Notamacropus eugenii: one gene and its partners. The protein of the gene in region 4 interacts with the protein of the main gene of each other region in a biochemical or structural test. Links are inferred from orthologs where the notes say so. Each region holds a gene or a part of one and is shown on either strand. Other genes may lie near its edges. The genes, in order: AMOT, DCAF1, SPTBN1 and NF2.

Region 1 (7,334 bases), on a different chromosome or scaffold from region 4:
CTGGGAATGTTTCATACTTCTCACATTTGCCTTCAAGGAGTTGTGCTGGGAGGTTTAAACTAGCCAGTGCCCAAGCTGTGAGTGTCCAGCCCTGACTAACCAGGCAGCCTCCCTCATTCCAGAAGCTAGGACCACATCAGGTTAGGCTTGTGGCACCCATTTAGGGGACACACATTTGGAAGGCTCAGCTATGCTCTTGTCCAGTCTCCTCGAACAGCACCCTCATCAGGTTGCTATAAAGTAGTTTGAAATTGGATTTGGGGCAAAGGAGAGGTGGGGAGGGGCTCTTCACCTCTCTGTTATTTTTAGGACATCACTAAGACCATGACCATGGTTGTGGTCCCAGCCCAGCTCTGAGCCTCTGAGCCTGTTTCCCTCCCCCCACCCCCCCCTCCACCCCTCCACCCCCCGGCCCCAAGATATGTCCGATTGCCTTTTAGAGTTTTTCTTTGCTTGACTTGGGGGAGGGGAGGGGGAAGGGGAGGGCTGGCACACAAGCAGGCAGGGGAAAGGGGAGGTTATTGGGTGCCAATTTTAAAGGGTATAGCATTTCAGATCAGCTGGAAGAGAAGAGTTGGACTGACCAAATTGTGCATTTTCTAGGCAGCCTGGGACTCATTAATGGCCAGGTGCTTCTATGGAGTGGTTCCTTCCATTTCCAGCTGCTAACTCCTATTTTCAGCCCAAATCCAGAGCCTTGTATTCCATGCCTGTTGGGTGACCTCAACTACCATTTTCTGTACCTCTACTTTCCACAGACCTCTTTCTTTGGAGAAGTTACAGTATCAGTGGGAAGGTTCCTAGATTGGGGAGGGGGGGAGGGCATGGAAAGAATGCTAGGAGGGCATTTAATATGATTTCCTCATTTTACAGAGAAAAATACTGAGGCCCACAAACAGGGCAAGACTTAACCAAGGTCACACTTCAGTGAATGACGATTCTTGGTTACATGATCCAAATATGACATTCGAAGCCCCAGTGGAGAAAGTAACTGTTTTCTTTGAAGTGCATTCTCCGTATTGCTCAAACATGCTCTGGGCATGAGCCCATGAGAGCAGGGGTGTGAACACACACACACACGTGCACACACACATATATATACACACACACACACTTAAAAGAGCTCTGATTTAATACACAGGAAGGCACTGATTCCAACCCTTCATGCAGTTTTTTGTCTTTGTTTAAAAAAAACCAAAACCTGTCCTTTAGTGTAGAGACTAGTGTAGATACTCAGAGCATTGCCTGAGAGGTAGGAAAAAAAAGTGACCTGAGTGTGTCAGTGTGAGGACTAGAACCCAGGACTGAAGGACTCTAAGGAAATCTCTCCATCCATTAGGAAACACGGTCGTTTTTCCCACCTTCATTTCCTTAAATCTTTTGAAGACTTTCTACCTAACAGGTTGAAAATATCCCTTGTACCCTTTGAGTGTTGGGAGTATCTTGTGTTGCCCAGGTCTGTGGGATGACGCATGGAACTATTTCAACTTTTGACATCTTGTTTTTCTATTCTGCAGAGTTGAAGTTTTTTAAACAAAACCTAGTTGAAAATTTGGCGGGGAATGCTGTCTTTGAGGTTGGGGACTTTTTAAAGACTAAGATAGAAAATTCTTTTTTCTAGAATGGGATGAGCCCTCCCTGAGCCCAAAGGCAGGGGCATGGCCTAGCTGACCTCTTGATCCCGGACACATCAGCCTCTGTGCTTCCTTGCAGGGTCTGCTCATCCTTTAAAAGGGTGGCTTTATAATTCCTCAGCCCTTTCTTTCTGTCATTCCTCCACTTAGGAATGAGGCTTAGGGAAAAGTCCAGCTTTTGAAGGCATTCCCCCTGCCCCACCCCAATTTGGATGCAAGATGAGTTTCTCACATTTTTCCTTCCCCTTGGGTCTCTTCAGTTTCTCCCCAAGATCTGCAGTTCTGTGTCAAGGAGGGGGAGGCCGATCTTGAGGAGATGCAGAGAAATGCTTGCAGCCAGGTACCTTCCTCCATGGCGACTGAGCATTTGGAATGCACCCATCGAACCCAGTTGAAACCCATGGGAGTGATGGGGGGGGGGAGGTCTTTTAGAATGGTGACTGGGCAAATGTACCCAGGCTGCTGGGGCTGAGCATCTTCCCTCCCCCCCCTCATTCAGCTGCTGCCAAACAAGTGACTTGCTAAGTTACAAGGAGTTCCTGTCTGTTCTGAATGGAGGGTTCTCCCCCTTCTAACTGGTGTGTGTGTGTGTTTGTGTGTGTTTGTGTGTGTATGTGTGTGTGTGTGTGTGTGTGTGTGTGTTCCACCTTTGGCTCCGTTTCTTTTGCTTTCTGAATGTCTCTGAAATCAAGGGCTTCTTTCTCCACTCAGAGGTGCACGTTTCTCCCCCAAGGTCATCATGATGACCAAGTGAGAGGGTCTGGGTGAAAAGCGTTTGACAAACTTCTGAGTGCCTCTATATGTAGAGGGTTCTGTTATTGTTGGAAGAGTCAAATAACCAGGGTGGCCACAGGGTCAATGACCAGAGCAGCTGGATGTCCTAGGTTTGAATCCCACCTCAGGTGCTTAACTCAGTCTCAGTTTCCTCATCTGTAAAATGGAGATCTATCTCCCTGGGCTGTCCTAAGGGTCAGATGAGGCAATGTCAACTTTCTAGTCCTACTATTGAGGCCTCGAAGCAGTCCCCTCCCCCACCCATTCCTATTGATTCCTCTGTACCCTGAGAGAGGAGGAGAGCCATCTCCCTTGTCTGCTTCCCTCCCCCTTATGTTTTGGTGAAGATGAATACTGTAGACAGGCTAAAGTGAAGCCCATAGTACACTAGTGGGAGTGGGCCTTTGTGTGGAGGGGCCCTCGAGATGCCCCAACTCACCATTGAGGGGCCCCTGGCTTTGGGGAAGAATACACTGGGGCTTTGTCTAAAATAACCAGCTCCCTTTGAAAGAGCCTTGCTTTACACCAATTCAATTAAGCAGCAGCAGCAGCAGCCGCTGCCGCCACCGCCGCCAAAATGCTGCCTTTTCAGGGCCACATCTGGTATTGGGGGCCTACTTGGCAAAATTAGCAGCAGCCTAAAGGCTCTGGTCTAGGTGACCCAGCAAGATCCTGAGGCAAGCCTGCCACTCCCAAGTCAGGAACAAATGACCTTTGCTCCAGGGGTTCCCTGTGAGGGGAAACTGTGATGGCTCCCTGACCTTTTCTGGGAAGAAAAGAGACTCCATAGGTTGAGTGATTGAGAGCTGGGAGAAGCAGGGGAGGCTGTGAGGGAGGGGGGCACATGGCAGGGCTGCTGTGTTCCTTCTTCATAGAGGCCAGAGCATTGGGGTTCTAGCACTTCTGAGCCGACGTTCTTCCCCACGTTTTTACAGGGAGTGCAGGGTTTTGTGCCCACTGCAACAGAAGGACACCTCATTAGGCAATTACTGCCATGGATTCCCTATGTGACCTTGGACAAATCCCTTCCCCTTCCACAGCCTCAGTTTCTTCCTCTGTCAAAAGAAGGAGTTGGGATAGGCAACCTCGGAGCATCCCATTCTGAGCTCCTCCCTACCCTTCCCGTATGGGCCTCAAATTCCTGCTCTTGCAGTGTGAGGCTCGCTGGGAGTCTGGAAAAGAAGATGGGGTGGGGGAGGGGGGAAGAAGAGGGAGGGGGCAACGGAGGAAATGCTCCACCACCTCTCTCCTAGGCTGGCTGTCTCGGACAAGGATTAGGTTTGGTCTGTCTGACCCCAGAGGGAAAAACTGAGAGAGGAAGGGGAAGCTGGCTGTGAATCAGTGAGCATTTATTAAATGTTGCTTACTGTGTGCCTGGCACATTGGTACGTGCTGGAGAAACAGAAAAAGCACAGACTGGCCCCTGACCTCTGGGAGCTCATGCTGGACCGGAGGGGACATGTATACCTAGAGATCCAGGGATCCAGAGGGCATAGATGTAAGGTAACCTCAGAAGGGAAGGCTCCAGCAGCTGGGGCTGAGGAGTGGAGGGAGACGGAGACAGACAGTCAAATTTAGGCTTGCTGTCAGGAAAGTCTTCCTAATGCTGAGGGCTAGCCCAGAGTGGACGGGGCTGCCTACGAAGGAAATTCAGTTTCTCCTCTCTCCTCCATTTGTCTGGCCTATAGTGAAGGGACTGCTTCAGATCTGGCTTGGACTAGGTCGTTTCTGAGGCCCCTTGGGGTTCACACTCCGTGCCTCCATGGGGGTGGCCTTTTGCCAGCTGGTTTTCTGCTCGGGCCTCATGTGCTTTCCTGGGGTGGCCATTTAGGTGGAAAGGTAAAGCCTGGGGGAGATGGATGCTAATGATATTCCCTTTAATGCCTGTGCGTTCATTGCCTTTCAGTATCAGGTCTCTGAGGAGGCCTCCCTGTGCATGTGTGTGCCCGTGACGTGGGCCCAGTGCATCCTGTGTGGGATCTTGTGCGGCGGTGGTGTGTTCCGGGAGTGCTGACAGAGCGTTGGAGCTTTGGTGAGTTGGCCCCACTGCATTCTCTGCCTTTGAGGATGCTTATGTACCCGCCAGGCCATCGTTTTCTAGTTGCCCCACAGGGAAAGGCAAGGTTTGCGGTTTGCTCCTAAATCATCCGGCAGTGCTGCTTAGGGCAGGGTGTCATGACACCCTGTAAAGACAACCTCAGCCTGGGTGTGCCAGGAATGCTTCGGGAATGAGGGAGGCCCAGGAGGGAGGAGGGGGGGGGTGGGAAACACAAATCACTTTCTTTAATGACCTTGAGAATAATGGGACCTGTCGAAATGAGATTTAGCTACAGGAAAGAGACAAAGAACGGGAAAAGCACTTGGGCAAGCTTGGCAGGTACTAAGGGCCTCGAATCAGGGACCTCTGGGAGGGGAGGTTCAAGGCCGATTTGCCGTTGCCGCTCTTTGCTGCTTTTCAGGAATGAGCTTTTTTCTGGGATTCTGGCAGAGAGCCTGGGCTTGTGGTTGTGTGCTTGGGAGGTTGGGGCAGAGGGCAGCTGGCAGGGAGGCCTGCCTCCATGGATCAGGACATACCTGAGCTGCGAAAGGTAAAGTTGCTGTGACTGGGCTACCTGGGATTGGCTGAAGGGAGGAATGATGGGAGGAGCTTCCAGTGAGTGATGGAGTTTACCATCTTCAGCCTGGTGAGTGAGTGACCTGTCCCATCCAGGGCTAAGCCCTTGGCTTGGTTGGCTGGGTTGCCAGGCCTTCTGGGAACTCCTGACAGACTGGCACCCACTTCTAGCTATGGCTGAATAAAACCTCCATAGCAGTGAATTCTGGGATTGCCTTGCTGGAATGGGATGACCAGGACTCTGAGGTTTTGGGGAGAGTCTTGGACTCTGAAATATGAGGTCTTCAGTTCCAATCCCTGCTCTGTCAGTTGCCGCCTATATGACCTTTGGCAAGTGGCTTCATTACCCTGGGCCTCAGTTTCTTGCTCTGAAAAGGATCCCATTCTCTAAGGTCTTTTACATCTCTAACTCTAGGATCTCATGGTCATTAGAGTAGATAAGCTTACAGAGTGCAGACCTAGAGGCAGCTACATGTAGGCCAATGAGTCAAGCACTAGGTTTGGAGTCAAGACGACCTGAGTTCAAATCTTTCCCCAGATACTTATTATAACTGTGTGATCCTGGACAACTCACTCAACCTTTCTCAGTCTCAGTGTCTCCATCTGTAAAATGAGGACAATAATAGCCCCTACAACTGGGTCCCAGTTAGTGCAAATAATGATCATATGCTTTCAAATTCACACTATTCAAAGTTAAAATTTTTATAAAATATGGCATTTGGTTGTAGCCCAATAGAAAAGTGCAGTGGGAATTCAAGTGACCTGTTTGGGTGGAGGATTGAGAAAGACAGTAAATGGAATGTTTATAAATGGGAGCTATTATTTAAAAAAATATCTGCAAAGCCATTCCTTTGACATTGCTAGCTTTGAGATGGTGACTTGTCATCAACTCAGAAAGTGTTAATGTGGGGACTGGGCAGCATTTGAAGGTACATTCCCAAAGCCACCCTGATTTGCTATGTGGCCTGGGGTGACTCAAGTTCTCTGGGCCTGGCTTGCTCTTCTATGAAAAAAGAATGGGAAGGATTCATAGAGATTCTGAGGCTTCCAACAATCTGGGCCTCCATGTCCTCCTCTGGAAGAAGTACTTCTAAGATCTCCCTCTGAATCTATGATTCTTGATACACATCAGACTTAGTGATCTAGTGAAAAGGCTTTTAATAAAAAAAAATTGGATTGTAAATTTAGAGCCAGATCTCTGAGGTTTGTGAGCCCCACTCTCCCATTTTCCGGAGGAAAACACTGAGGCTGACAGAGGAATGTGAGTTACCCACAGTCACACTGGTGGCTGGAATTCTAACCCAGTCCCCCTGATCCCCCATTCAGCCTTACCACCTACTATCGTAGGGTGTCTTTTTAATGAAGTTGGCTTTTCTTCTGATCCTTCACCCCTTTCTTCTAGCTGATGTGCAATGCCCTGTGGCAGTCTGTAGCCAAAAGTGATGGTAGGTAGGATTGTCCAGCCCTGCTCTCTTGCCTAGCCCCTCCCCGCCCCCTCCCTCACAAGCAGGGGCTGTGAGGCCTCATCCCTTTAGGTGAATATCTTGCTTGATCCACAGGAGAGCTCCTTAAGAAACATCTTGCAGAGCAGTGAGGACTGGAATGTGCCCAATGAAGGTTTTAAAGCTTTTCAGCCTTGTCCAAAAGATTAAAGAAAGGGTGTGGGGGAAGGGAGATTCGCTAAGGGTGGCGGGGAGGGGCAAAAGTCAAGCTTTTAGAGGAAGATTTGCCTTATGTCACCTATTGATGGTAGCCAGGAACTGAGGCCTGCCTCACCACAACTGGCTTTTATCAGGGCTACCAGGAGCACACGCATTGCCATGCATGGCAAGCCGTCAAGGTGGACAAACCGAGAAGGAGGATTGGGTGTCTGTGCACCCCACTCTACCCACCCCACCCCCACCCCAGCATCTGGCCCACTCCCTGACTGCCATTCTTACACAACCCCCTGCCCCGAGAGCATGGAGCTTGACCCCCCCCCCCAACCCCAGTAAGGACAAATGATGCGCCAGAAGCAGTTTGCTCACTTTTCCTAAGGTCGCTAAGGCTGAGGCACGGAGAGGTGTTCCCCCAAAGCCCGTCTTCCCTGCACATGGTCCTCATTATCCCAGAGGCCTGGACTCCATCAGAGAAGGAGCCGAGAAACCCCAGGCCTTGGGGTGAGGGAGGAGAACATGTTTGGCATATTTGTGGGGAGGGGGTTGCTGACATCACAGAATGTAGTGGGATGAGTATTCCCAGGGACAGCGGTGAGACAGCCGAGGTTCTGGGGGTGCTCTGATTGTTTCCTTCCTTCTTTGCTTTCTTTAAAA
Region 2 (7,226 bases), on a different chromosome or scaffold from region 4:
TCCACTCATTCTGCCAGGGTGAGTCTTCACATGCTTGAGGATAGACATCCCCCTAAAACACCAGAGCAAGTGTCCTTACAGAACTCTAATGTTTCCAAAGGATATTGAAGGAGTTAAATAAGACAAACAGAAGACCAGGGAGTGTGTTGATTCTGTTCTGATTGGTTTTAAGGAGGGAGTGAAAAGAAAAATTAAAAGCAGTAGTGTAGAAAGAGAAAGGAAAGTGTGTTAAAAGAATACACAGACACGATGGAAGGAAGGGGGAGCAGGCATCAAATGAACCTCATTCTTCTGAACTGGACAGAAGAGTTTTTAAGATGTGTAAGTGTGTAGAATATTTCAAACTCAATAGGTAAAGATGGAATAGTCAAATATAAAATAAAATAAACTTAGAGGATGGAACCTGAAGAGAGGATTAAATTAGAGAAAGAAAAAAAAGAACTTAAGATGGTAAAAAAGAAATTAAGATGGTACCTATGAATCAGGGAATGGCTGGACAAATTGTGCTTTATGAATGGAATGGATATTGTTACATTGTAACAAGTCGCAAAAGAGACATTTTTCGAGGAGCCTGGGAAGGTTTGTATGAGCTGATCCAGAGTGAAGAGAGAAGCTCCAAGAGAATAAATTAAATGAGAAAAAAAAAACGTGATAGCAACAATATAATAAAGAAATACAACTAAAAAAATTAAGGAGGGTGATCAAAGAATAGTGACCAAGCATGACTCCAGAGCATGAGGAGGAAGCATTCTGCCAGACAGAAGATTGACTCAAGGTGTAGTCCATCAGCAAGCATTTATTTAGTGCTTTCAATATGATAGGCTAAGTGTTGGGTATACAAAGAAAGCAAAGATGCGGCCCCTCCCCCCAAAGAATGCAATATGAAAATAAATATGTGTATGTGGATATATGCATACCTGCATAATAGAGATATGTATATATACCATACACATATATATGTGGAGACACACACAGTGTGTATACATGGTGTGACGAGGGAACTAGTAAGTCAATTAGGGAGGTGTGAAAAGATTTCTTTGTGGCAGTGAGGACTAGTCGGGGTTATATGACAAATTTGCAGTGGATCTCATCAGTAATTTTGTGACTCTTCAGCTCTGTTCAGCAGCCTAGGAATAGGAGTCAAGATAGAATCCAAGGTTGGGATTTAGCAAGGTATGATCAGTTATAGAAGACGGGAGATGGAGGGGTGAGGGGGAATGTATAGAGTGCAGTGTAGAGTTGAACTAATTCACCAAAGAGTTGAAATAGGGAAAGGAGGACAGTGTAGCCAAGGTAGGGGTGAGGGCCAGGAAAAACTAAGGGATGGAAGAGTTGGAGATCACATTGAGAATAAAGGATAAGCTTAAGACTTGCAATAAAGGGAGAAGTATGGGACGCTAAAATTAATGACCTTATAAAGGAATTTCAGAATTTATGAACGTAGAAATAGAACACTTGTAGGTGATGAAGCATTGTGGTCTAGCCATCTCTGTGTGTTGCTGAAGAGGAATGGAGGAACAGATCATGGGAACTGAATAAACTGAGAAACTGGGAAATTAAGGTGGTTGAGAAAGAATCAGTAAGTAGGTTGAAATCTCATAGCAAAAGTTATGGAGGAGAAAAAGACTATGAATCAGGTACTGAATTCGTGAAGGAAGAAGAGTGTCTGGGGATCCATAGATAATGGTCATGAAGATCATGAAGAAGGTTTGATGATAAATTTGGAATCCCAAAAAAGGGAAAGATGGTACAGAGGAAGAAGAGGGGAGCTCAGCAATGGGATAGAGGAGAATCTGAAAGTGTCAGCGGAGAACAAGGAGCATTGCAACATCCTCATTTCACCAGAGATTGAGGGTTATTAATAAAAATGCAACTAGTATTGGAAAGGGTGGCTTATTGTCAATAAGTTTCAATGAATGCCCCAAAATGGAAGGAGAAAGGAAATAATTTATAGAAGGTGCAGAAAGAGTCAAACATTTTCAGATATGGACACTGCAGATTTGTTGTGCTTGATCATGCTTGTATGTCACAATTATTTTTTTTGCAGTAGTGGCATTTGAGGAGGAGACAGCTAGCACTAGAGATGTCCTTTCCCCAAAAGAGAGTCATTGAAAGATTTTTTTTTAATACATGGCAAAAACAGAAGGAAATTCAGAAGGAAACAGACAAACAGGAGAAAAGACAGCTTTGATAAACGTTGAGTTTATTATGTATTTTTTTTAGAATAGCAAGCTGTACTGAATAGATACTTGCTGTTTTATATACAGTCCTTTTTATATTCTACTTTGTACATGAAAATGCTTTCTTTTTTGGTGTTTGTTAAGCTCAGCATAAAAAAGACCCCTCTAAAAGGCAACTCAACTCAGATTAAATGCTATGATGAATGGTCCCAGTGAACAGATAAAGAAATACTTGCCACCGCTCTGTAGAGCAAAATGTGTGTGTTGCGGGGGAGGACTTTACAGGTACACTGTAAGATACATATACTGTTGTTTGGTTGTAATTAACTTTTCTTAATTATAGAGATAGTTTTATTAGGGGGAAGGAGAGAGATATATTGGGTAATGTCTGTGTTACATAAGCAGCTAATCAGCAGCAATACTTTTTTAAAAAATAAATCATGAAAAAGTGAAAGGATTGAACAAGGTGTTCTCTAAGGTTCCTTGTGGATCTAAATTCTACAATCTGATTCCCCATTTCATCCTCTCCCAACAGATGGTAGCTAGAGTATACAGAAGGCTGCTGGCACCAGGGTTGAGGACTATAGAAGTAAATGGAAGCTCATTGGATAAAGATCAGGAGAAAGAATCCATATTGCCCCAAAGCCCACTAGAGGTCAACAAACTAGGAAGATGAGTTTGGACTCATCCAAGGGAGGCTGAACAGGCTAATAGTGAAACTGAAGTTCATACTATATGAGACAGTTCAAGGAATGGGGAACGTGAGTACGGAGAAGACTGAGGGGGAATATGATTAATGTCTTCCATGATTTTAAGGGCTGTCCTATGAAGAGAAATAAGGCTTGCCCAACTGGGAACAATGGATGGAATTTACAGAAAGACCAATTTCACCTCAAAATAAGAAAATATTTCTTAACCGTAAGAGCTGTCTGAAAGTGGAATAGGTTGAACTCAGGAAGTAAGGAGTTCCCTATCCCCCTGTAAGTTGTCTTCTAGCAGAGACTGGATGATAACTGTCTAGGATAACTGTAGAAGGGATTCCTGATCAGCGTAGGTTGAATTATAACCTCTGAGGTCCCTTCCAGTGTTAAGATTCTATACTTCTTTAGGAACAGTGCTGCAATCCAGTGGAAATCACTAGGTCAAGTACAATTTTCCCCAGTATTTCAAAGATATGACTCTTCTTTCTTCATGCTCTTGAGCCTGCCTCACTCCTCAGCTTGCCAAACATGCATTATTTTGACCTAAGAAGGTTTCCTGGGGAAAGACAGAGTAGTCCTTGGTTCCTCTGAGGGCTCAGAGAGGCTTTATCCAGTTACCAGAGTCCTCAGTGGCTTCCTTGTTCAGCACTGAGTGTAACAGGAAGCCTTTCCTCCACTTGGGGACCCTTTCCCCACTCCATAGGGGTGAATGGCCAGCTTTGTGACTTCACAAGGCATGACCTCTGTGACAGGCAGGGTCCTGATGGACATGGTAGCTGGCCTCCAGGAGGGTGGGGATGACCGTCAGCTGGCAACATGTGAAACATCATAGAGCCTGCCCCTGGAGGGAGTACTTGTGAGCCTGCCCCACCACGGTAAGAGAAGATGACATCCCTTCCCATCCAAAGAACCCCTGAGAAAGGGAGAAAGCTTGATCTAACCTCTCCCTAGGCTCTAGCACATAGACATTACCCTTCAGTTATCCATGGTTGTTATCCATCATTGGCTTTCAGTAGTTATGTCCTCCTTTCTGTCCAGCTCTCTGCTCAACCACCTACCTGAAAAGACAGGTCTTTAGGAAGCCCATGGTGCTGTTAGCCATTAGATATGAAAGCTAGTCATGGCTAAGGGATATCCTACTAGGCCTTATTAGGCACTTAGAGCCAAGAGTGAGCACTTGCCCTTCTGCATCTGTCTCTCCAGTCCATACCTTTGTGCCTAGTAGGTCCACTATGACTGTAATGTGGAGAGTTGCCCTCTCTACCCGTTGCCCATGCCTATTCTTATTATGACATCATAGATGACCTGTTGAGCAGCCCCCCAGGGGAGTTTCTGACATTCACCATCATGGCTCCCACTCAGGCTGCAGCAGAAGGAATGTGTCCCAGGGGAGCCTGGGAAGGGGACTCCTTCTCTGGGGGTCTTTTCCTGAAGGAAAGGGAGTAACAGCTCTGGGAAGTCATCCAAACCTACTTCCCACTTTGGTCTTAAGCAATCTCATTGAGGCCCATGCCAGCATATACTACCATTCCAGGTGACTTTATAACTCTGGTGCAAGGACGATGGACTTAATTCAGCTCCTTTGAGGACTTAAAAGGAAAGTATTTTGTCTTCTTGTCTCCTGTTCTAAAATCAGAGCCTTCTGGGACCAGGTTCTGGCTTCAAGAAGTCCTCATTTTCCAACCTTGAAATGGGTTTAACTGTGTCTTTGCCTTAATCTCTGGCACTCAGCTTTTTCTTCCAAGAAGATCAAATTCATTTGTGGGCACAGTCAATTCACCATGAACTAACTGTAGTCCTAGAAAGGAAAGCTCATGGACAAAAGCCACAGCTAAATTTGTGGTGGTAAGAACATGAACTTGGAGTCAGGAGGTGTGGATTTGAATTATAGTTCTGACATTAGCTGTATGAGTTTGGGCAAATCATCTCACCCTCTGAGCAACAAGGTATTCATCTGTAAAATGGATGATAATGTCTGTAATACCTACGTGGGGAATACTCTTGGGGGTTGGGGTGGGGGGGTGGAGAATGGCTTATAAATTTCAAAGCACCATAAAAATGATAGGATTTGGAGCAAGAGATCATCTAGTCTAATAATGCTCTTAGATTTTTGCTGTTCTGTAGCACTGTCCAACTCTTTGTGACCCCATTTGGGGTTTACTTGGCAAAGAAACTGGAAAGGTTTGCCATTTGCTTTTCTAGCTCATTTTACAGATAAGGAAACCAAGGCAAATAAGGTTAGGTGACTTGCCTGGGATCTCACAGCTAGTAAGTGACTGAGGCCAGATTTGAACTCAGGAAAATGAGGCCTTTGCATTCTATCCACTGCGCCATCCTGCTGCCCCAATCCTCTCAGATCACACATGAGGAAAACAAAACCGAAGAAGGTTATAGAGAGTAAACTCATTCAAGTCATCATTACCAAACTTTAGTTTATCCAATAAAAGAAATTCTAGTTATTCCCTTGAAGGAAAGTAGCATTAATATAGAGAATTTCCAAATAATTTCTGTTTATCCTTGTAATGTATTAAAATTGTTTTTTAAATTTTCCTCCCTGCCTCCGGCTTAGGTCGGAAGAGTGAGGATGCACGGACAGGATCAGTATACAAGAGAGAGAAAGGCAGAAGTGTTCTAGGGCCATGGTTGGGCAAGCTAAGTTTTCAATGGCCTTGAACAAAAGTGAATCCACAGGGAGATAATTGAGAACTGGCTATAGTTTCAGCCTGCTTTCCCACTAAGCATTTTCCACAGCTGCCAATAAAGGGAATCTCCTTCTGATCTCCCTTCTTTTCTGGGTCAGCAGTGATTTAACTAAGAGGGAAGAATGGAAGAGAAAAAAAGAAAGAGCCCCAATAATGCACAAATATCTTTCTTAGCTGCAAGTTGACTACATGGCCTGCCTTATTCATCTCAAAACCCACTGGAACTAGGGGAGATTTCATTCTCCCTGTTTTGGACGAGAATAAACTGAGGACCTGAAGGATTAAATGAGCAGCTTCCCTTAGTGAGCCAGTAGTTGGGCACTGACAAAGCAGAGATTTCCACTGAGCATTAAGGGTTCTAAATCTGGGAACAAAAGCCAATGGATCTCCCCTATCCATTGGAGATGGGTGATCTGACCATAAGTGGGGTGGGAAGAAGAAGAGAGGGGATGTTGAGGATTAGTAGGGCTAAGAAAGCTGAGGTATTTGTGAGAGAGGTTGGGCTTGGTCCCAAAGCTTAGGGTCAATCTGGATAAATGGGATCTTTTGAGTCCCAGAGGACTACAGAGGCAAGGGATCCCTCTCCTCTTGACCTCACACGAAGGGGAAGATCTGCTTTTTGTAAGAATTATGGCCATTTCTGGGTATCACACTTTAGCAGTGAAATTGGAAAGCTCAAGAAGAGGAGGGCACAAGGGAAAAATCACCCTAGATAAGACCTGAGTATGTGGAGCTTGCAGAAGGGAAGACCTAAGGGAAGCAAAAAACAGTATCACAGAGTGGAAAAAACACTGGATTTGGAGTTAGAGAACCTACAAACACTAATCTTGGGCAAGTCATTTCCTTTCCTCTTGGCTTCATTTTGATAATCTGCAAAATGAGGGGCTTGGACTAGATGATCTCTAAGGATCTAGAGATCCTAGAACCCTAAGGATTTGAGAAGCTGGATTCAAAGCCTTCGGTTTAGATCCGAAGGACAGAGTTAGGAACAATGAAAAGTTATATGAAGAACAGATTTAACTTTGTGAAGAAAAATTCTAAGAAAGAGAACTGTCCAGAAGGAGAAAGCAGAGAAAGGGAAACTCATTAGGAAGTAATGAACATTCCTTCCTCTCCAGATGTCTCCAAAGTGGGACCACTTTCTTGATGGTACGTTGTGGAGGGAATTGCTCCTCTGTCACGCTGGATTAGATGAATTTCTAACAGAGATTCTATGAAGCCGAGGTCAGAAATCAGGAGGAGAAAGGTTTAAAGGAAATCTCTGGCAGTTCACCTAGAACCCCCTTCCCAGCTCCCTGAGGAGGGTGGGGTGGAAGTGGGAGCAGGAACGAGAAAACAACAGTTAGCATACAGTTCCTTACTTCTTGAAAGGAAATGTACTTGGCCATGTAATGTCCCAGGCACTAAACACAAATAGCTTGTCCATCTACTGCTCCTCTCTTTCTAGATGGATGGAGGGACTGATTTATTGGTCATAACACTAGAAAGAATCTGTCTTCTTCTGGCTTAGATTTGCAAAGGCAGGATTGTTTATGGGAGCTGAGAAGTGTGAGCAGCTGGGAAGTCTTGTTTTATGAAAAGCAGACAGGACCCTTGATGAATGTGGTCTCCTCCCCCTTGCATACCCTTCTTCCCCCTACCTT
Region 3 (7,178 bases), on a different chromosome or scaffold from region 4:
GTCTTTTGAATGGGGTAGCTCTAAACTGAACCTCAAAATGAGTTCTAAGAGGTAGAGAAAGGAGAAAGTTGTTGTCATTGAGAATGCTCGAGAAAATCCAAGGGACCTGCTTTATCATATAAATAGGCAAAAAAGTGGCAAAGTAGATAGAGTACTGGGCCTGGAGTCAGGAAAACCTGAGTTGAAATCTAGCCTTAGATACTTATAGGCTGTGAATTCCTGGGCAAGTCACTTAACCTGTTTCACTCAGTTTCCTAATCTGAAAAATGGGGATAATAATAACACCTAGCTCCCAGGGTGGTTATGAGGATCAAATGAGATAATTACTGTAAGGTGCTTAGTATACTACCTGGCACATAGTTAAGTGCCATATAAATGTTAGCTATTATTAATTAAAATAAAATTTTGTAAGACCTCAAATTTATATTTCCCACTATACCATTATTGGTTGGGCACATAGCAGGGACTCAATAAATATTCATTTGTTGATTTGGACCATTTTGGATGTGGAGAGGAGTTTAGGAAAATAGGGATGGTTTTAAAAGTAAGCCACCCAAGTAAAAGGATTTCAAGAGGGCTGGGAATCTTCTTTTCCAAAATACATCCGGATTCACTGATAAGTGAAAATACATGATAAGGAATTTCATTCCTCCCCCTTATGCCAAATAAAGGTCTTGTCCCTCTTATTTCTAAGATAAACAATATTAATAAGAAATCTACCAGTCACTTACACCATAGTGCAAATAATCTTTTCATAGGAAAAAGGGTTGAGAAAATATTCAAACATTTAGTACATTGAGAGAATGCCTCACTGAGGGGAAGAATGACAATAATAGTTAACATTTATATAGCACTCTAAGGTGTGCATAGTGCTTTAAATATTAACTCTTCTGATCTTCACAACAATCTTGTGAGGGAGGTGTTATTATTTTATCATCTTACAGATAAGGAAACTGAGTCAGAGAGATTAAATTATTTGTTCTGGATCATGCAACTACTAAGTGTCATAAGCAGGATTCAAATTCGGGTGTTCCATCCACTGTGTCACCCACCTTCCTAAAAAGAGGAGGTAAAGAAAGAATGGGGACAAACTCTAATTACTTATCAATTTTCCCTTTAACTAGCCCAACTGAAGAACAAATCGATTTCCTGGTCAACCAAAGAAACAACTGATGACAGAAGAAATTGAATCTAAAATTTCAAAGTATCCTTGCTTGTAGGACTAAATAACAGGAAAAAAGAAAAAGAAAAAAAATATTAATAGGTTTGGCACATTGAGATCACTGTTTACTTAAAGGAACCTAGCAATCATCATCCAGGTCATATTTAATCTTCTTCAGGGTTGATTTTTCTTTTTAACCATTTGATTCTGAAAATGTTATTTTAACAATTAGACATTCATGGGTATAAATTTAACTGTCATAGTCTGTCCTTTTTACCTTTAAAAATATAATTAAATATTAATATCTTGCCCAAAGGCTTTAAGGGAAAGGAAGTTTAATGAGAAAGGAATCACAGAGTAAAGTATTTCCTTAGTTTTATTCATTACTAATAGACTAAATCTTGAGCATGAAAAATTTTTTGTAAAAATCAAAATTTTCCTAATAGCCTTTATGATTATTAATCCAAGATCAAAATTATTATTATTAATAATAATATACTCTCTGAATGTGAGTCATTTTCAGTGTTGAACCTAAACTAAGTAATTTCCTTTTATACTGGAAGTGTTCCATGTTAGGGTGTTTCTTCATTAGCTATAATTCAAAAATGACTAATGACTATCTCTATGATCTAAATCTGTTAATTCCTATTAATTTTTGTTGATTGCCAATAATGTATTAGCTGCTAGATAAAATATTATGAAGACAAAGTTCCAGCTCTCTAGTAGAACCTTTCTCAACTTCTGCATTTAAAAAGTTTCCCTTATATCTTACAATAAAACTTTAAATCAGTAGCCTTCACTCTGAATTTCGGAATCACACTTAATAAGCTACTATAAAGTTGGTAAATTCTTACAGTCCCCGGTACAATGCCATATAAATTGTGAAGTTAAGGAAACATGTTGCCTTTTCTCAGGGAGAAAGCATAAAATGATTTGGGTTGGGGGCAGGATATGGTCTCTACTAGAGCTAGAAGATTAACCATTCTAGTGGTAGAGAGATAAAGGGAGTATTTAAAGACCACTACTAAAAATAACTTTGGAAGTGTTTAAGAATTTATTTCCCTGGAGACTCTGTTGTTTTCTTGTGGATTTCATTGACTGAAACAAGCAAAAACTCAGTCCTCAGGTGCAGCATTCATTTCCAGTGTGCTAATTTCCCTGTGCTTACCTTTATGATGTTTTCATGTTTTTGTTGTGATTTGATGGCATTCCTGAAAAATACTTCATTTATTTCCTTCAACTTCTGAAACACTGAAGTAAGTATAACGTGTGAAAACATTTATTTTGCTCATTAAAAGCTAAATGACTGATTTTTCTGACCCTTTAGGTCCCTTTCCTTCTAACTTGAAAATTTCCAAAATTAAAATTATTTATCGGCATCACAGGATACTACCAGTTTTAAAGCTTTTAAAAATATCCATCTAATCCAATCAATCAACAAGCATTTATTAAGCACTTACTACATGCCAAGAACTATGAAAAAAAACCATATACATATATTATTATATATAAAACATAAAAATGAATACAAGGTTGATTTAGAACTCAAAAGTCATTATAAAGGGAAGAAAAAAGAGAATGCTTAAATTCTGTGAAAATTTAATAATCTTTTATATGTTTTTAACAGTACAATTTTTTGGTTCTACTTTTGAAGCCTTAGGCCATCTGAATTGAGACCCTGACTTTTGGGGTAGACCAGCATTCTGAATAGGGTGATCAGGTACATTAGGCAAGAAATAAATTTTAGTTAATTTTTTATGTGGTACATGTGTGTTAACTAAAATTGCCAGTTCAAATTTCTGCATTTTCAGCAAAACACGATATTCATCTGTAAACACTTAAACACTAAATATACCAGGTCTCAGACCTCTACTGCTTGAAATAGCTGCAAATCAGTAATGAGGTTCTCTAACCTTCCTAGGTCAGTTTTTGTTTTAAGGTTTGGGGGATCCTTCAGAAGAAAAGGTTCAACAATTCTCTTGAGCCGAAATAATAAAAATTGTATAGTGCTCACGTTTTCCTGGATCTGGGCTAGATAACCATACAGAGCAAGTTAACCACAACTTTTGTAGGAGCTTATGTTCTAAAGCTCAGATTTCTAGCTAATGTAGGTAAGTCTTGACGAGAACCTTGACAGGTCCATTACTGAGTAGTGACAGACAGCTTGTTAGTCCCCAGGAAACACTGTATCTCAAAAAAGGGGGTGGGGGTGGGGGCCGCTACGGGATGTTTGCCTCAGGGATAAGAGGCTGGAGTTCAAGTACTAGGCTAGGCTACCTAGGTAGAAAGGGTTAAAAGAATTCACAAAGGGAGAACTTGACCCAGAGAATTGGGAAACAAACAACAAAAAAAGGCGCCCAACAGAGATGTCGCCTTTTCCCCACCTGAGCGGAAACCTACAAGCACTACCTCCCAGATTTAAAACAAAAATGGGGAATCCACCCACTTAAAACCCCCAAACCCAGAAAGCAAACTTTGTCCTTTGTTACAAAATAAAAAACCAGCAAGGAAGAAAGGAGACTGAGCGAAGTCACGTTCAGAATTAGGCTGCCCCTTTCCATGGTGATAATCGAATTAGGCTTCAATTAAACGTGAAATTGGCCCTCTCGGGGGGTGGGGACAAAGCCCCCATTATCCCCGGCGCTCCCTCTCCTCCCGCGGCGGCGGTGGCCCCTATCGGGGTGCCTGGCTTCCAGGCCCGGCCTCGGGGACTGAGGAGAGAAGAGGAGAGGAGAGGAGGAATGCGGAGGGAGGTGAATGTGCAAGCGCACTTGTTTATCAGCTGCAGCCCAGAGAAGGCGCTCGCTGCAGGTAGCTGGGAGGAGGCCCGGGCCGGGGGCTGGAGGAGCGCAGCGGAGAAGGGGGCAGAGGGCGGTGGGCACTCTCAGAGGCACAGAGAGAGTGTTTGCGCGGTGGCGGCGGGGCGCGAGCCGGAGGAGGAGGAGAGGCTTGTGGGTGGGTGTCTGTGCAGCATCCCTCTCCCCGCCCCCTCCCAGCTCCCGCCCGCCCTCCTCCCGCCTGCCTCCTGAATCAGTGCAGCTGTTGCTGTGTGGGCTGCGGATTCCTCCAGTCGCTCCCTTCCCTTCCTCTCCTCCGGGAGCGCAGCGCTGCACTGCACGGCGCCCGGTCCTGTCCTGTGAGCCCCGACCCCCGCGGCGGCTGCCAGCACCGACCGGCTGCCCAGGAGGAGGACGGGACCCCGGCGCCCCCCACCCAACCTCCCCATCTCCCCGGACCCCGAAGAGGTAAGGGCCCCGAGGCTGCGGTTGTCGTTCTGCGGACCAGATGCCAACTCACTGAACGCCTCCTTTCCGTTCCCAGCCCCCGGGTTAGGTGGGTAGGAGAGGATTGCGAGAGGGGGAGGCGCAGGGTTCTGGGGAGGGGGGGGCTGTGAACCTTAGGGTGCTGTGCCAGGACGACAGCGAGGAGAAATCACGCTGACCCTTTCCCAGCACAGAGGTTGGAGGGAGGGGGAGGGGAGGCTGCAAAAACAGGGAGGGAGGGGCGGCGGGGGTGAGTAGGGGTTTGTAGGGCTGGTGACCCCCTCTTTTTAAAAAGTGTTCCTTTTATTGGAGGGCAGTGGGCGAGAAAAGGGGCGCTTGGGGCGGGATTCAGGGCCTAGGGAATGAGCAAGACGGAGAGAAGGCTGCAGGCAGGCTCTGCAGTCTGGCAGCTGCAGACATGGCAGTGTGTGACTGTTGCAGCGGCTCCATCATTAGGTTGCAGCAGACATCCCTCCTCCCCTTCGCCTTTCTCCTCCTTTAAGCTGTGTGCCTCATTTTCCCAGTATTTTTCTGGGGGGAGGCATTAAAGAGAGAGGGTACTGAGGTTCTCGAGCGCATATTTTAGTGAGGTGCAAAAAAAAAAAAAGAAAAAATCGCCTTTGGCTGCTTGGATTGGTGTGTGTGTGTGTGTGTGTGTGTGTGTGTGTGTGTGTGTGTGTGTGTGTGTGTGTGTGCGTGTGTGCGCGTATGTATGTAAAGGAGGGGCAGAAAGGGAGGAGAGTGGGCATCTTGGCGAGGGGTCGCTGACCGTGCTTGGTGACCTAGGTTGCTGGATGTAACGGTACAGGAGATGCAACCAGGCGTGGTCCTGAGCTGCGCTGCTGCTGCTGAGCTGGAGGCGGCGGCAGCAGCAGCTGCTGCTGCTGCTCCTGCTGCTGCTCCCGCCTCCTTTTCCTTCCCTCCTCCTCTTTCTCCTCTTTCTCCTCCTCTTCATTTCCCACTCTCTCTGGACTGGGCGTGAGCAGCTACGGTGCTGGGAACAGGCTGCTTTTTCGGGCTTCGGTGTTCTTCAACAGGTTTGTGCCGACCTGGTCATCTCTTTTCTGGTCCCCTAGGTAGGGTTGTGCTGGTTTGGGAACCCTTCTTCCTCCCTGCTCCCGCACCCTGTTTTCTTGCGTTGGGTCGTTCTCTTGGCTTTTGTGATGGGAAAAGTGTCAATCCGCTGCAATCAGATTTACAGTTGTTCCCCCTCCCTCCTCCTTTCTCCATGTTGGGAAGACAGCCTGATATGATTGCAGGCTTTGCAAACCGTCTTGAATTTTAAGAAGAAAAAAGAGAAAACAGGTGAGAAAAGTATCTGAAGATGGGCCTCAGGAAAGAAAGAATCCATGACTTGGGTTAATTTGTTTTTTAAAATATATTTAATCATGATCTAGCAGGAGTGGGATGATGCAGCACAATGCAGCTAGATATATGACAACCTTATTTTGTTCTTGGTGGCTCTCCTTTGCATAGCAACCCATCGCCCTGTGCTCTTTCCCAACCCCACCCAGTTGGAAAGCTTTTTTTTTTCCAGAGCCTGGGGCTGCTTGTCCCCTGTCATACGGTTTCAGCTGGATGTGGCTTCAAAAGAAACAGATCACCTAGGTGTAGAAGGAGAAAGAGACATTTTTGCGGGGGTTGGGGGGGAAGGAGGGAGTGGATGAGGTAGTGGTTAAGGGACCCTCCCTGTTTGGTTGCTGTTAGGTTGTACTGTAATGAAGAGGAGTTATGCGATTGCAGTTCTAATGCGGTCTGATGGAGCCCAGCCTGCGGCTGTGGACCTTTATCCCATACTATCAAACTACTGTAGGAGCATTAGGGAGGGGCGACAGGAAGAATGATATTGTAAATGTGAGGAAATGGTGCATGTTGTATGTGAGTAGTCATGGGATATATTTATTAGATGGCTGACCACGCCATGTAATCTTCCAATATAATTGGCTTCTGAATATATCAGAAGTTGATGACAGTAATAAATTCACATTTAGCAGCTTAGGGCACCCAGTATTAAGAATATAGGTTTTTAGTTCTAGAAAAACTATGTGCATAAAAAAAAATTAAAGAAGTTAAATGCTTTTAGTTCCTTGGGCCTCAAAAAGTGTATAAAGATGTTAGAATTTCATATATTTTTAAAAATTGCTCTTTAAGGGTTGTAAAAGTGGGCTTTTTTATTGTTGGGGGCTTAGCCAAGTTTTTTCCCCTTTAAATTGAAACTATTTGGAAACTAAATTCACATCTTGAGATAACAAATGAGATTTATATTTAATAGAAATCAAACATTTTCAAGAGTTTTTTTATTTAAGTAGCAAAATTGGCTTTACATATAAGATTATTTCAGTAGAGTCATCATTAAGATGATTGTAGCTGAAATTAACCACACATTTAAATTTCACATCTTTTCTCTTAAGTGTTTTCTTCCAAATGTGATTTGGGCAGATTTTCATGACATGATTTTTTTCTTATGGCTTTCTTATGGCTTTTCTTACGCTTAAGTGTTTCATAGCATTAAGTCAAATGTGGCAGGGAAGTGATTTTACCTCTCTCTTCGTATAGTGAATTTCATTTACAGATGACTTTCCCATAGTTCTCTTAGATACTTGTATTTGAAGTTGAGTAATAAATGGAATTTAGTGCATAATGCCAGTCTAGGTTCTGGTTTTGAGGAAATGTCACCTAAATTAGGTAAAGAGGTACTATCTCAGTAGTTAAACATTTCAAAGCCAAGGATTATCAGTTGATAGTCATATTTT
Region 4 (6,855 bases):
TTCAGTAAATCAACCTTTCCTTTGATCTCAGACCTTCCATCTTCTTACTCCTAACCAAGGCTAATCCCTCTACATGTCCAAGTGACCTTAACCCCATCCCATCTTCTCCATAAGATTTTCCCCTCTGAAATGGATGGAAGAAACCAAAGCTATCTATAGTCACAGAAGTTCTCTAAATCACTTTTGATTAGGGAAATGCAAATTAAAACAACTCTGAAGTACCATCTCACACCTATTAGATTACCTAATATAACAAAAAAAGAAAATGATAAATGTTGGAGAGGATGTGAGAAAATTGGGACACTAATGTATGTAGTGTTGGTGGAGTTGTGAATGGATCCAACCATTCTGGAGAAGAATTTGGAACTACGCCCAAAGGGCAACCAAACTGTGCATATCCTTTGATCCAGCAATACCCCTACTAAATCTGCATCCCAAAGAAGTCATAAAAAAGGGAAAAGGACCTACATGTATAAAAATATTTATAGCACCCCTTTTCATGGTGGCAAATTATTGGAAACTGAGGGGATACCTATCAATTGGGAAATGGCTAAACAAGTTGTGGTATATGAATGTAATGGAATACTAAGAACCAATGTATATTTCAGAAAAACCTGGAAAGACTTGTGCAAACTGATGTGAAGTGAAATGAGCAGAACCACGAAAACATTATACATAGTAACAGCAACATTTTGTGATGATCAACTATGAAAGACTCAGCTCTTCTCTGAAACACAATGATTCAAGACAATTACAAAGAATTCTTGATGGAAAGATAAAGATCTGATAGACTTTGAATTTAGATCAAAGCACGCTTTTTTCATTTTATTTTTTTTCATGGTTTTCCCTTTTGGTCTATTTCCTCTTTCACAACTCTGACTAATATGGAAATATGTTTTACATCTTTGCACATATATAACATATCAAATTACTTACCATTTTAAGAAGAGGGGAGGGAAGGGAAGGAGAAAAATTTGGAACTCAAAATCTTGTAAAAATGAATGCTAAAAATTGTCTACACATAATTGGGAAAAAATAAAATATTATAAAAAAAAGATTTCCTCCTCTGTCACTCCCAATCTTTCACTTTGTTTCAATCTCTTTCTGTCTGTTGGTTCTTTCCCTACTGCCTTATAAGCATGTTCATGTCGCCCTCATCCTCCAAAAAAAACCCTACTTAATCCTTCCATCCTCACTATCATCCTATGTCTCTTCTGTGTTTTGTGGCTAAAAAGGCCTTCTTCTAACAGGGGCTTCCACTTTTTTTCCTCTCATTCTCTTCTTAAAGCCTTCCAATCCAGCTTCCAAAACGTCTCTCTCCAAAATTACTAGAGCCCTTTATTGCCAAGTCAAATGGCCTTTTCTCAATTCTCATTGTCCTTAACCTTTCTGCAGTCTCAGGCCAGGAGAGCAGGACACACTGACTTCCAAAACATAAATGGAAAGAACAAAAGAGCAGAGATTGAACCTCATGGAGTCGCAGTAACCAAGCTTGTCCCCAAAGAAGACGAGCCAGGTCAGGGGTGGGGAACCTGTCAAAGAGCCCCACTTGAGGACCTAGAGGCCCATCTGTGACCCACCCAAGCCAGACAGTCAGCAAGCATTTATGAAGCGCTATTTATAATGCTTAAAGCAATGCAGTCCCTGCCCTGCCCTGACACTCAACATGCAGATAACTAGGGCAATGAGGTGGCTTTGCAGATACCACATTGGCCTTGAAGTTAGGAAGCCTTGAGCTGAAATCTTACCACAGACACCTGCTTGTTGCGTGATCCTGGGCAAGTCACTTCACCTCTCTCTCTTTTAGTTTTCTCAACAGTATAAAGGGGATAGAAACGCAGCTATGAGGAAATGAGATAATGTATGTAAAGTGCATTGTATTTAAGTGCTTTGTTTCAGGCACTACATAAATGTTAGCTGTTATTATTACTTACATATAAGATGTGTGTGTGTGGGGGTGTGTGTGTGGGTATATGTATGCAGCAAGGTGGTGCGCTGGGTAGAGCAAGAGGCCTGGAGTCAGGAAGACCTGAGTTCAAATCTGACCTCATACACTTACAAGCTGTGTGGCCCTGGGCAAGTCACTTCACTGTTTGCCTCATCTGTAAAATGAGCTGGAGAAAGAAATGGCAAAAGCCACTGCAACTTCTTGAGCAGGGTAGTTACACGGTCAGGTCTATATTTAGGGCTATTAATACTTGTAGAATATGGAGCCACTAGAAGGAGACCAGTTAGGAAGCTGGAGGTAAAAACTACAATCTCAGACAAGTAATCTCATTCTTGTATGGGGATCTCCGTACTTAGGATGCATTCCCCAGGAAATGACAACTCACATTTTGTAGCATGGGGTCAACAAAGGGCTGTCTCCTCACAATAACTCTGTGAAGTACGGGATGCAATGACTGGTCCCCCCATTTCACAGATGAGGAAACTGAGGTTCAAAGAGGGTAAAAGATCTGAGCAGTCACACAGCCAAGAGCTAAACTCCAATTTAATTCACCAGAAATGTATTAAGCTTGTCCCACCTGGGCTAGGTGCTGTGCTTTGTTCCTGCTGAGTCATTTCAGTTGTGTCTGACTCTTCATGACCCCATGTGGGGTTTTCTTGGCAAAGACTCCAGCTCCTCTTGCAGATGAGGAAACTGAGGCAAACGGGGTTAAGTGACTTGCTCTGGGTCACACAGCTAGTCACACATTTGAATAGGAAGTCTTCCTAATTCCAGGATCCGCAGTGTGTGCCCTGTGGTGCCACCCGGGTGCAGACGCAAAGACACAACGAGTGGTCCAGCCCCTCCCCTCAAGGAGCTTGCCTTTTACTGGGGGACCCCACACGTGTACTCACAAGCACGACACGGAAGCACTTCCGTGGGGCGGGGAAGGCTTCTCAGAGCGGGGTGCTGGCTGTGCTGACCCGTTAGTGCTCAACCTGGAGTCATAAGGATCTGAATTCCAATCCTGCCTCGGACAGGTAAACCCCTTAACCCTTTCCATCCTCGGTTTTCTGGTCTATAAAGTGGGGGTGACAAGAGGGATATGACAGCAGATGGGGAACATCATCTCCTCCTCTCCTTCCTCACCAATAAGTTTGCCCACTGTCACCACTGCCAGGAAAACCTGAAGAAGGCTAGTGGTAGTAGCAGCGGTAATGGAGGTGAGGCTGGCACAGGGAACCACCCGCGCACGAAGCACCTGCAGAACAGGCTGGCTCCGCTATGCCACGCCCCTCCGCGACATTTCAGTGACGTCACCGCCACGCCCCCACCCTCTCCCCGCCTCTCCTAGCGGGCCCCTAGTCGAAGCTGGCTTTCTCCAGCGCTCCAGCAGGAGGAGGAGGAACCCGGCAACAAAGGCGGCCCGAGCGACAGCCGCATCGACCACTCAGCGCCGAGTCCGGCCTTACGCGCCGGCGAGACCCAGCTTGCCACTGGCCAGCCTTCTTCAAGGGGGCGTGGCCGAAGGCTAGGCCCCGCCTCCACCGGGTGGGGGGCGGGAGAGGGGAGGTCGGACCAATCGGAGCGGGGCTGGGTGGGCCGCCAGTGCCTCAGGCTACGGGCCGAGGGCGCGCGCCGAGCGGACTGGGCCCGGACCCGAGCGCCCCCGGGAGCGCGCGCGCTCCCCTCACTCACTCGCGTGCCCGTTCGGCCGCGGCTCCTCCGAGGCGGGACGGGAGCGCCGGGAGCGGAACGTGGCGAAGCCTCTGGGCCTCACGAAGTCCTGAGCGCCAGCCTCCGGCCGCCGCCCACCGCGGAGGGGGCCCGCCCCCGCCCTCGGGCCCCGCGGGGTGGGCGGCCGGCCTGGGCCCGGGGTCCGGGGTCAGGGGCCCCGAGGCCCGAGGCCACGCGGCTCCGCGCAGGCGCCATGAGGCCCCCCGGCTCCGCGCAGGCGCCCTGGCGGCCCTGAGGCCTGGGCGGCCTGTGGGCTGAGCCGGGCCGGGCCGGGGCCGGGGCCTTGCCATGGCCGGGGCCATCGCGTCGCGCATGAGCTTCAGCTCCCTCAAGAGGAAGCAGCCCAAGACGTTCACCGTGCGCATCGTCACCATGGACGCGGAGATGGAGTTCAACTGCGAGGTAACTCGCCCGTCCGCCAGCACTGCTTGAGCGCCTCGTGTGTACCCCGCCCGAGTGAAGGAGCCCCGCCCGCCAGGGGGCGGGACGCGGGGGCGCCGGCCACGTGTCCCCGGAGCCGGAGCCCTCCGCGCGGCAGGGGGCCGGCGGGCCGGACCCTCCAGGCGGACCTGAGGCGGGGCGGGCAGCCTGCCGCGCGCCGGGCCGGGGGGCCTCAGTGTCCTCCGCCCCAGGTGACCACCCGATCACCACCGCACCCCGGCCTTGTCGTCCTCGGGCAGGCCGGCCTCCTGCCTCTGCCCCTCCGATCCCTCGTGCGTTCCGTGCCCGGTGTGCCAGCTCAGGGGGTGAAGTTTAGCAAGTACCCCTGAGTGTGGGTGCCCACATAGTACCGATGCACGCCCAGCATCAGTATGTATGATCATACCCGGATTTGTAATGTGAACATGTATGTGTAAGTGTGTAAGTATCTGTGCATGTTTACGTAAGCATGTTGGCACTGGTCAGTCCTTTCAGCAATGCGCCCTCCACGACCCCACTGGGGGTTTCCTGGCAGAGATACTGGAAAGGTTGGCCATTTCCTTCTCCAGCCCATTTTACAGGTGAGGAAACTGAGGCAAGCAGGGTGAAGCGACTTGCCCAGGGTCACCCAGTGAGGGGGTGTTGGAGGCCAGATTTGAGCTCACATACATGAGTCTTCCACATTCAATCCTGGTGCTCTATCCACCGTGCCACCTGGCTGTCCATACAGAAGGATATGAGCACATAGATGTATACATGCAAATATATGTGTGTACGGATGTGTACGGATGCATGCGTGTGTATAGACATACGTACGTACATACACACTGTGAATGTGTCTGGTGGATGTGTGTGTGGGGGGCAGCACTGTGGGATGCAGAAAGCACTTGACTTGGGGCTCGGACGTCTCCTGCCCTGGATCGCTAAAGTCGCTTGGCCTCTGGGAGCTAACATTCATTCCATGAGGGATGCACAGACGTGTGTTTGCATTTGGAGTATTTGTAAATACTGTGTAAAGTGTTTGAAGGGTTGACTAGAACCTCAGTGACACCCAGACTGCCCCATACGTGACAAGCGACCACCCTGGAGCCTGCAGCTCCCTCTGCTTGAAGACCCTCTAGGGTGGGGACCCTGTTGCTCCTCTAGGGGAAGGAGAGCTGGGCTGTAGTAAAGACAGCCCTGGACTGGGGGTCCGAGGACCAGACTCTGCTGCTGGTTACTTGCGTGACCTGGGGCAAGGCGTTTCTGGGCCTTAGTTTCCTCTTCTGTAAAGAGAGAGAGGCAGGTGAGGGGGCAGCATTGGTAGGTCCTGTTCAGGGCCCTACTGGTTGCCCAGAGTGCATGGAGTGAGGCATCCAGAAAGGCCAGGGGGCTGAGGGGAAGGGGGGAGGGGGAGAGCTGACCCAGTCAGGGTGACTTGGGTAGGAGAGAATGTAACAGTGACACCCTTGGGGAGCTTTTAGGTCAGTGAGGTGTTTGGCACACTCCCTTCTGGGCCAATCAAGTCATCCTCACTTTGTGCTGTTTGACTAGGTGACTGCAGGGTCAAGCATGGGTGGAGTCCACGTGTTTGGGCCACGTTGCCCCCTGACACCTCCAGCTAGAGGCTGCCTAGTCCAGCCCCCTCACTTCACAATAAAGGAAGTCACAGAGCTAGTAAGTGTCAGAACCGGGACTGGAACTGGCTTTGGATTCCCAAATTCAGGGCTCTTTTTACCGTGCCATACTGCTCTGTGGAGCTAGAAGAGGCCTTAGTGGTGATCTGGTCCAAGCCCTTCTTTTTGCACATGAGGAAACTGAGGCAGACAGAATTAAGTGACTTGCCTTGAGTCAAACAGCTAGTAAGTGTGTGAGGCTGGCTTTGAACCGGCCTCTAGAGCCAGCACTGTATCCATTGTGGCCCCTAGCTGCCACCTGGTGATGATAGTAGTACCTACCTCACAGGGTTGTTAAATAAGATATTTGTAAACAGTTCTTAGCACAATGCTTGGCACACAGTGCTGTATAAATGTTAGCAATTATTATAGTGAGCAGTATATGGTAATTTTTTTTGTAGGGTGTGAAAGAGGATTGTTTGGCTCTAGCTTGGAAATAGGGAATCAGCTTGAATGGAGTGGGTCTAATGGCCCAGACCAAGTAGTCTTTGCAAAGGCCAAGGCCACTTTAGGAGAGTACAAGTCTTGTGTATCATCTTCCAGTGTCTCATATCATGTGAAGGTGGTTTTTCCACAGGCGAACTTTGAATTTGGAAGCTCATGTTAATGGGCTTAGTCATTATATGACCTGGGAGAAGCTGGCAGTCCAGTCAGCCCACAGCATGAGTATGTGCTGCATGCCAGGCACTGGGCCAAGCAGGGGAGATGCAAAGAAAGGCAAAAGACAGGCCCTGCCCTCAAAGGAGAGACAACAGGCAGACAACTGGGGGCAAACAAGCTGTAGAACAGGCTAAATTGGAGATAAACCCCCGAGGGCAGACAGCAGCAATGAAGGAAAGGCTTCTGGGGAGGAGGAGCTGAGACTTGAAGGATGCCCGGGAGGCCAGGAGGCACAGATGAGGAGGGAGAGCATTCCAGGGAGGTGAGGCAGCCAGTGAAATGTTTGGATTTGGGAGCTGGAGCATTGTGGGAGAGGAATGCCAAGGAGGCTGGGGGCCCTGCATAGCTGAGTACTTGTTGGAGGGCTCTAGTAAGGGACCAGGTTGTGGGTGGCATCTGTGCTTTAGGAAGATCACTCCGGTGTCTGAATGGAGGATAGATCAGATTGGGGAGAGA

What was found.
Region 1: the proteins of NF2 (region 4) and AMOT form a complex in vitro, tested with the Homo sapiens proteins (2 studies listed by BioGRID and IntAct). The link is inferred for Notamacropus eugenii from reciprocal best matches to the Homo sapiens genes NF2 and AMOT.
Region 2: the proteins of NF2 (region 4) and DCAF1 form a complex in vitro, tested with the Homo sapiens proteins (3 studies listed by BioGRID, with this or other methods). The link is inferred for Notamacropus eugenii from reciprocal best matches to the Homo sapiens genes NF2 and DCAF1.
Region 3: the proteins of NF2 (region 4) and SPTBN1 form a complex in vitro, tested with the Homo sapiens proteins (2 studies listed by BioGRID and IntAct). The link is inferred for Notamacropus eugenii from reciprocal best matches to the Homo sapiens genes NF2 and SPTBN1.

Annotation. Positions count from the first base shown.
Region 1 is NC_092879.1:97,026,306-97,033,639, forward strand, and holds the start of AMOT (angiomotin), read left to right. Parts: upstream 1-4,331; 5' UTR 4,332-4,440; intron 4,441-7,334.
Region 2 is NC_092872.1:3,306,220-3,313,445, forward strand, and holds the start of DCAF1 (DDB1- and CUL4-associated factor 1), read left to right. Parts: upstream 1-4,207; 5' UTR 4,208-4,827; intron 4,828-7,226. UniProt on the Homo sapiens protein: Acts both as a substrate recognition component of E3 ubiquitin-protein ligase complexes and as an atypical serine/threonine-protein kinase, playing key roles in various processes such as cell cycle, telomerase regulation and histone modification.
Region 3 is NC_092872.1:651,984,277-651,991,454, reverse strand, and holds the start of SPTBN1 (spectrin beta chain, non-erythrocytic 1), read left to right. Parts: upstream 1-4,167; 5' UTR 4,168-4,407; exon of another isoform or gene 4,408-4,495; intron 4,496-5,139; exon of another isoform or gene 5,140-5,501; intron 5,502-5,610; exon of another isoform or gene 5,611-5,730; intron 5,731-7,178. UniProt on the Homo sapiens protein: Fodrin, which seems to be involved in secretion, interacts with calmodulin in a calcium-dependent manner and is thus candidate for the calcium-dependent movement of the cytoskeleton at the membrane.
Region 4 is NC_092875.1:16,051,668-16,058,522, reverse strand, and holds the start of NF2 (merlin), read left to right. Parts: upstream 1-3,851; 5' UTR 3,852-3,952; coding exon 3,953-4,066; intron 4,067-6,855. UniProt on the Homo sapiens protein: Probable regulator of the Hippo/SWH (Sav/Wts/Hpo) signaling pathway, a signaling pathway that plays a pivotal role in tumor suppression by restricting proliferation and promoting apoptosis.